Linked DNA regions of Bombyx mori. The protein of the gene in region 1 interacts with the protein of each later gene in a pairwise test. Links are inferred from orthologs where the notes say so. Each region holds a gene or a part of one and is shown in the gene's direction. Other genes may lie near its edges. The genes, in order: vacuolar fusion protein CCZ1 homolog and protein SAND.

What was found.
Region 2: the proteins of vacuolar fusion protein CCZ1 homolog (region 1) and protein SAND interact in a two-hybrid assay, tested with the Caenorhabditis elegans proteins (2 studies listed by BioGRID). The link is inferred for Bombyx mori from reciprocal best matches to the Caenorhabditis elegans genes ccz-1 and sand-1.

What each region holds. Positions count from the first base shown.
Region 1 is NC_085114.1:10,373,358-10,377,964, forward strand, and holds the start of vacuolar fusion protein CCZ1 homolog, read left to right. Parts: upstream 1-1,606; 5' UTR 1,607-2,167; coding exon 2,168-2,239; intron 2,240-2,312; coding exon 2,313-2,410; intron 2,411-2,579; coding exon 2,580-2,670; intron 2,671-2,752; coding exon 2,753-2,815; intron 2,816-3,208; coding exon 3,209-3,334; intron 3,335-3,605; coding exon 3,606-3,778; intron 3,779-4,178; coding exon 4,179-4,453; intron 4,454-4,607. Other genes in the region: EF-hand domain-containing family member C2, read right to left, coding at 280-336.
Region 2 is NC_085134.1:3,992,368-3,996,639, forward strand, and holds the start of protein SAND, read left to right. Parts: upstream 1-1,329; 5' UTR 1,330-1,573; coding exon 1,574-1,846; intron 1,847-2,230; coding exon 2,231-2,385; intron 2,386-2,762; coding exon 2,763-2,963; intron 2,964-3,272; coding exon 3,273-3,433; intron 3,434-4,272.

The sequences.
Region 1 (4,607 bases):
ATATTTAAATGATTTAAGAATAAAGCAAGTATATATTTTATAAAAAAAAAACATCGGAATAGCAGTTAAAAAGTCTGCATGGGTCAGTGAATGTTCAACAATATCTGTCCCGCAGTTCATCTTAGGTTGACACATTACGTACACCTAATTTATAAAAAATTGCAAAGCTAAAATACTGTATGATAAGGGTCGATTATAAAATGAATTAAAAATTAACGATTCTTGTTATTCTTAGACTAAATCGAAATTAATACGATTTACAAGTAAATTTTTACCTACCAGCGGGTTAGTGCCATAGCCAGGTAACAGCGGAAGGCGGGGATTTCTAATAGCCATTTTAACTATAACTGAACTTTAAATAATTTAAAAAAGTAGACAATTAAAGGCCTATTTTAAAGCAAAATTATTAATGTATCAAAATCTTGGGAATAAGTAAAATGTCTGAATTCAAAATGTTAAACGTCAATAGATGTATGTGAAGCTTAATAACTGTATTATCTATGAACATAAAATTTGAATCAATATTATCTTTGCTAAGCAACTGAGAAATATTAAATCCATATATTATGTAATAGGTAATCTTTTAGCTACGTATTGCAATGAACCAGTGCATAGCATACCCGATCCGGTGGACCGAATGGTAAACAGTTGACGTCGCCCTAAACGTCATTACCGATCCTCCCGATCCATTAACGGTGCTTTTAGATACCTCAAGCACTGGTCACTGTCCTCCCCGAACTCGTCGCTTGCGACGAAGAGCTCGACAAGTAAATTAAACATTTTTTTCCTACCTATGCTAATAATAATATAATAATAAATGCGCAGCGGAAGACGTAACGTGGGACGCCCCTTGGCTAGGTGGTGCGATGACTTCCGCACGGTGGCCGGCAAGAAGTGGATGAGGAGAGCCGCAGACCGGGCTCAGTGGTGTGGATTGGGAGAGGCCTATGTCCAGCAGTGGACGACTGTGGGCTGTTGATGATGATGATGATGATGATGATGCTAATAGCCTTGAGAAGCTATATCAGCTTCTCCTTGACGTGTAGGTGAGCTCACGGGGCTCAACCGGGTGTGTTGCTAACACTGGCCCTAGCAAGAGCAGTGCTTCACAGAATCTACCACCGAATCGGAAACGCGACCCACTGAGAAGATGCGGCGAACTCAGTGGGCTGTCTATGCTATTTTTGAATTTGCTATTTTCCGATATGAAGTACAAGTAAATATTGAATATAATTCCTTGGACTGCATTTTTTAACCGTTTTCGAGGTTCCGACATGGCTATATAACCTTTTTATAAGTAATCTGAAAATATTATGATCAAAACTATAGCGAATATTTGAATTACATATTATCCACTCTATATATATATTGGTCTGCTGATGCGACTTACGCCTACGGCTCTAAGATGGGTACCTACTGAAGCTATTCGAGAGAGCACGATAAATACGAACTTTTCCGAAAAATTACGAAGGACAATCTTTTCTCACTATATCAGTAGCATTAGATTACCCACACTGAAGTACTTAAGATAAAGAAAGGGCTACATATCAACTAAATATTTCTTTATTATTTATAACTGTGGATTTCAGATCAATATCAGCGACTTGGACTTTTTGGCGGAAACGCGAGGAGTGAAGTTGTGTGATTTGTTTTATTTTATCTATTTAGTGTTTTTGAAGATTTAATTGTGTAATAACGGTGGTTTACTAACTGTTTAGTATTTGAAAAAGTGCAAAATGTGAAAAAATGTAACAAAGCCACTGGACGTAACTTCTCGGGATCCTCCAAAAAGTCTAGTGAAAAAATCTCAGTAAATGACCACCATTTTACTGAGATTATATTATTTCATCCCATATCATCTCATTTTATTTTATTTCATCCCAGTTGATTAATGTCTCAAATAAATTATCTTCATTTCATTTCATTTCACTCCATATCATCATTCTTCATAAAAATAAGAATATGAATTAAAATAAGACATGACTTAGAGTCTTAGCTACCAGGTCATAAAATCTCTTAAAAAATAAATGTCATAGCCTTCAATCAGTCAATGTCAATTTCATTAATGTAAATTGTCAAAATTCAATAAATAAACAACAAGTTTTGCATTGCAACATTATCTTTTTATGACGGCTGTGTTAAACTAAATGATATTATTTTTTTAAATATGATAGACTTAAGATCTAAAATCAACTTTTTCTTCGTTTTTAACCCTACCTTTGGACCTAAGGAGGGCGATGTAAGTTGTAATGATTTCATGTAATTATACCGTTCAAATTTCAAGTAATTTTAAAATCTCTCTTTCAATTTAGGAATTAAAGAGAATACTATACTTTTATCCAAATGAAGTCAGTCCAGATGCCCGGAAAATGCAAGTTGGGCTGTGTGAAGCCGTTGTCAAATTTATGTCGTAAGTGACCACATTTTTATTGGTATAATCATATACATATCACCTACTTTAATAACCATTGACGATACAGTTGCAGTGTTCATGATCCTCAGAATTAAGAGAAAAACTGATTGCACTAGATGATATCAAACTGACGAAAATGTAGATATTATTTTAATTACATTTTCAGGACGTTTTCATCTGAACCATGTGAAGCTTTGCAAACACAATCTAAGAGATACATATTTTTTCAACCAGAAAAAAACTTTTGGATGGTTTTAGTATGTAGATACACATTTTTCTAATAATACATAAAACACAAATTTACAGATGTGAGATTCTTATAGAAATTTTAATTTATAGGTAGTCCGAATACCGTATACAACCAAAGCATTGTCAGCAGTTGGTGAAAGTCAGGGAGATATAGTAAGTGAACGAAACAATAAAAAATATATATTTTAACACTATAGATAGGCAATCAGTAAATGTAACAATTAAATGTTAGCTATGAAGTTACTAAAGTATTTCAATTTACCAATAGGCATTGAGTTATGTGCCCTTGGCATTACTGCCTTTGACATAAATATAGCTTAGTACTTACCATTACATTTCTACTTTACTGTTTTTCACAGAGATAAAGATAAAACCTTTATAATAAAATTCTTACCTTAACATACAGCAAAAAGATTTTTTTTAAATAAATTTGTCACATCTTCATTCACATTCATAATTTTGGGAATTACTAATTAAGTTAATTATCTAACTATTCATCAATTTAAATAACTGAAATAAATGATGAAATTCCTTGATTTTTTTTAGGTCAATCCTACTGTAATGCAAAATCTCCTAACATCTGCATATAAGATGTTTAAAATGTTCAGGGGCCCATTCAAAAATATTCCAGCTGATGATTTATATGGTATAAGTGAGCAGTTCTTTACGCCTGTAAGTAGTACCCGTCCGAGCGTAGCTGGAATAGCTTCTTAGGCTACCAGCCAGGTAGGCAGAATAAGTAATAAAAATAATAAAACTAATTAATTATATTTCAATTTTGTTATTGACAGTAACAATAATTCCTTCAGTTCTTAAAACTCTAATTATTATTCTATTACAAAAAAAAAAGTTCAAATAAAATTAATTATAAGTATAAATGGCACTCAGATTAAGTCATTCTTATTCGAGTTGACTTTTTTCATTTCCAAATTTTTATTTTCAGTATATATCATCCAGACATCTAACAAATGACATATCAGATGTTATTCCTGGCATAAATTATTTACCTCTAGATAAAAACTCTTTTTTTAAAGTGGTATGCTTCGTAGATCACCTGGAAGTTACTTATCCTGATTTTAAATGTATATTGTTTCTTTACAATGATCAGCTTCTATGGTAAGAAAATAAAATATTTTTGTAAACTTCATCTTTAGGAACTTTCATTTGAAAACCTATTCCTGCCGAGTACTGAGACTTAGGTCTCAAGTCTCATGGACGTATATGGACTCCGGTAACTACTAAACACTAAGTGAGTCCTAAGCTAGGTCACGCATCACGTAACAAACCAAGTATAACTTAGAATCACTGATCATCTTCAGATTTTTTTTTACTTAATACCATTTGGCTTTAGTTTGAACTTTCCTCCATTTTTTTCCTATGCATTATAACAAGATATGGATATTTTTTACCCCTGATTACCATGGGGATAAAGTGTGGATAGATAATATTTACTTTTTCTTTTCCTAATTTGAAAACTATCAAGGTGTTAATTTAAGTAACCTGTATCCTTCCACAGGAACGGTCTGTGTACAGAAGACATGCTAACATTATACCAATATCTAGTACAGACATTGCTCCCTAAACAAGTTGAAATAGAAATCCAAGGTGGTGTAGTGACAGCAGCGCAGAGACTTGGCCGATTCATAAGTCCGCCAGATGGAATACATGTTAAAGAAGACTTAGATAAATTGATAAAGATACACGTAACACTCGAAGATGATACAGAATTTAAGGAATACTACCTCCTCATATACAGAACATTGAGTGCGACTGTCTGTTTCACTATTGATGGTATGTTAATATTACATAATAGATGAAATAGTATTGTAAATCATTTGGAAATAACGTTATTTTTAAGGAAGCGCGTAACGAACGGGATCAAAAGACTACAAGATACAAGCTTGTAGGGTAATGATATGTGTCAACTCGTATTTTTTCAACGAAA
Region 2 (4,272 bases), on another chromosome or scaffold:
AAATAAAATACGAATAAAATAACAGAAAAAAAAGGAAAAGGCAAAAGGAGGTGGCTCAATGAGGAGGTGGCGCTAGTGCTGTTCGAGGTCAATAAATCGAACAGCGCTGATTTTCAGTCAGACCCGTTCGTTCCCCTTTGGTTCATAGCGGGAATGAAGACTAGGTACGTGTGTACAGATTAGGAAGCTTCTTGAAAATCGGGATCTAAAGTGACGTTTTCGATTCCATCTGACGCAGCGGACAGATCGAAGCTTCGAAGTGGTTCTGGCATAGGTAATTAATTATTCACTATGGTGGATTGGTATGGTAGCAGATGGCAAGTGAGGATACCTCATTTTACTGTGTGTATTAGTTATAATGACTTTTGTATAATGTAAGACAAAAATGACAATAAGATGAGCGGTTCATTCTGTCCAAATCAAATGAATTGCAAAAAGAATAGATCGAAATTTTCTTGCCCGTCCAGTAAACACAACAAGTGTGGAACCCACGCTTTGTCGTATTTTTCGATGGTACTAATGATGTGAAATTTCTTCGCTGGGTTTTAAAAATAAGATTGCCACGCATGTGGCAAAACTTGTTGATTGATAGTACATATTTATGAACCACTAAGCTAGGAAAAAAAATACTACAATCTTCAAAAAATAATACAATGTTCAGGTGAAAGTAGGTAGGTAAGTCAAAATTAGTAAGCATTTCTACATGTTACATTATAGTATGTCACAATATTGTGTCGACCAGTGTTATTACTTATTAAACTTACAAAGTAAAAATACTTTATGATCTATTAGTTCTTAATAGAAAAAAATTGAGGCTTCGTTTTAAACGTTACATTTAGGTACAAGTATTAACTAAGTATCTGTACTAAGTTGACTCCCATTGTGTTTCTGATTCAAATTGTATTGAAAATGTTCCTAGTTAAAACTCCTAATAAAAAAAGGATAAACATTTTTATTATAATCACACACTGATTATTTTATTTAAATTAAACATTGACATCGTTTATAATTTTAGCTTTGCATAACATAACATGCAGACGATGAAAATTATGTTACATGGTTGTTTTTCTTAGCAAGCATTTATATACTTTCATGGGTACCAATGTGTTATTTACACCATTTTTAGTCGATTAAAATATTATTAATTTGCTAGATAAAAATTTTATACACACTGATTTGGTAACTAATGAGAAAATCTAGAATATTATGAGATAACCCCTTTTGCTTAATTTGTCAAAATGACATAAACTCGCCTTCTTCATGTTCCAGTCACTGCAATAAAACCAATGAAGTATACTATATAGGTCTATGAATAAAACATGATTAAAACAGATCTGTACATCTCGCCGTGACAGTTGAAGTTCTCGAGCAAAGTAGAGCTGAAACTCATTAGAAAAACAGAGATGGCAAATAAATCAATGTCAAAATATGCAAAATACCCGTTCACAACTTCACACCGATAATCATTGTTCTGGAATGTTATTCAAAATAAAGTGACAGAAAAACCAAAAAACAAAAATTCGTTTTTTTTGTCTTAACATAGTTATATTAAAATTAATGAAAAAGTATCGTCATGGCATCTACATCCAATGATAACGTGCCTCAACATATGAATGCTCCAGAAAATGCTTCTGATGAACTTGAACCGGGTGCATGTCATGATAGCATACTAAACCCCACTGATTCCTTTGAAGAGTTTGCATCGGAGATGAGTTCCAGCCTAAGAGAGACCTGCTTGACTACTAAGAGCAGTACTATAAGTGAAATACAAAGTGAAATCTTGGAAACTGCTGAAGACCCTAAACTGAAAGCAGCGAAATCAAGTGATGATTTACAAACAAAAGATGTAAGTTTTATAGATACAGTAGCTAATTATGTAAGTTGCTAAACTTAATTAAGACTGTCAGCCATGTCTTTATATCACTACCAGTACATAATCATCAATTAAATATGTTATGAAATTTATTAGTATTTAAAAAAGAGTAATATTTTCTATAAATATTTTACCCTCGAATTGTTAGCAAAACATTAGTTTTATTATCACTATTAACTAACATCAACACATGTTTTTAAAACCAAACAACATAAATCTTATTAGTTACATATTTAGAATGCCTAAATAAAAGTATCATAATATGAGGAATTTTGTCAGTTTGGGTCAACATTTTTCTTGGCCTGCTAGAGGCTCTCATTCAGAAAGGTATAAACTAATATTCACAAATTCTTACAGGGATCAATGTCAGCTTCAGCCAGCAATTCGAACTTAATTGAGGAGAATGGAGATGATACAGATGATGATAAAGACTATCTACAGTCACCAGAACTTGTTAATAAAGAGAAACATGTGTTCATACTTAGCACTGCAGGAAAACCTATTTATTCAAGGTAAGAGATATTCTTTGAGGGTAGAGCTCATAGCCCATCTGTTGTTAAATGGTTATTGGGGTCTATCAACCTCACAATATGAATACCGTCATGTGCCTGAGATGTGAAGTCAGTATCACAACTATAAGTCTGTCCTACCCTTCAAATTCGAATGCACTATTGATTTGTGGCAGCTTAAGTTTGAATGTGAGAACTCACCGATATAGGCTCTGTATGTGGTATGTAATTCTAATATAATAATATAAGTGAATATTTTTTTTCCCCATTTAAACCACAAACCATTGGTTTTTTTTTAAGTTTGAGTTTAATCTGATGTGTTACTGTTATTCCGCTGTTGGATAATATTTCAAAATTTTTCTAACATAGTTTGATTTTAGATATGGCAACGAAGACAAGTTAGCTGGCCTGTGTGGTGTTATCCAAGCTCTTGTCAGCGTAATAGAAGAACAGAACCAGGATATATTGAGGTTCATCAACACGAAAGATTGTAAAGCAGTATTCCTTGTTAAGGGACCCCTAATACTGGTTGCTGTTTCGAAATCCAATGAAAGTGAAACCCAATTAGTTTTGCAGTTGACGTAAGTGAAAATTAAAGTTTATCTTCAAGATAAATAAAAATTTTGATAAAATATATTTTTATCACAGTGTACGGGGCTAATAATCCCTCTGATAAATATCACCAGCTGGTGGACAGTTATATTTTTAATAAATGCCAGTTTTGATAGACAGTTCAGCCTTCAAACTAGAAAACATGAATAGAAATGCAACCTGTAACTTATTGAATGTCAAAAAAAATAGACAAATCATGTCAGATATCATTAGGGCAGATCAAAGGATCACTTGAAATATATATTTGAAATTAAAAAATACTTTTTTTTTCTTTCTAGATATGCATTCAATCAAATTGTTTCGCTGTTAACACTAACCCAACTGAATAGAATATTTGAGCAGCGAAGGAACTATGATCTGAGAAGGCTACTGGCCGGAGCTGAAAGATTGATTGATCATTTGCTTGTGTTTATGGAGAAAGATCCTGCCTTTTTACTAGGTAATACAGTAAATTGTAATTGTTAGTCTGTTATTGTTAAACAATCACTAGAAATAGACCCATAGACACAGCCCACTGAGTTTCTAGCCGGATCTTCTGCGAAGCACTGCTCTTGCTAGTTAGTTCTTGCTAGTCAGTGTTAGCAACACTCCGGCTTGAGCCCCGTGAGCTCACCTACATACGCTAGGGCGAAGCTGAAATAGCCTCTCAAGGCTATCAGCATAGGTAGGGAAAAAAAAAAGAAAAATGGATGGGAGGTATAGTAATCGGCAAACTTCGTGAGCAAATGACCTTGACTGCGCAGAACCGAATTTTAGATCACTTTGGTGGTGAGGGTGAGGCGCGACGGCAGGGGAAATCGTATCGAGCGCGTTATTGGTAGATCAGTCGAACCTTGCGTCCCGCACCGCGCCCTCGTTCCGCTTGCTCCCAAAAGTACGCTTGCGTACAGTGGAAAGTCTATCGTTATTAATCGTTAAGTTATTAGTTATAATTGCTTGTGGACTTTGTTGCCATTGCTATTTGTTGAGTGTTTGTTGATTTTTTATAAAACATACACTATGCCGTGACAAACTGGTGTAGTACTTAAAAGAAAGGGTAGAAAATTTGTGTACGACGTATATTGCTTCATCATAAAACAGGGGAAGAATGATATGGAAAAATTAAAACAGACTTCGGAAGCAACAAAAACATCAGTGAGTACTGTTTGGTGCATTATTAACGAAGCTAAAGGCTCTGGCTTGCTCGCCGTGTTTCGGACTCCGGGTAAGAAAAGATCAGGGAAGAAGAAAGTTACCGGAATGGATAGTTTCGTTCAATCTGTAATAAAAATATGTAAT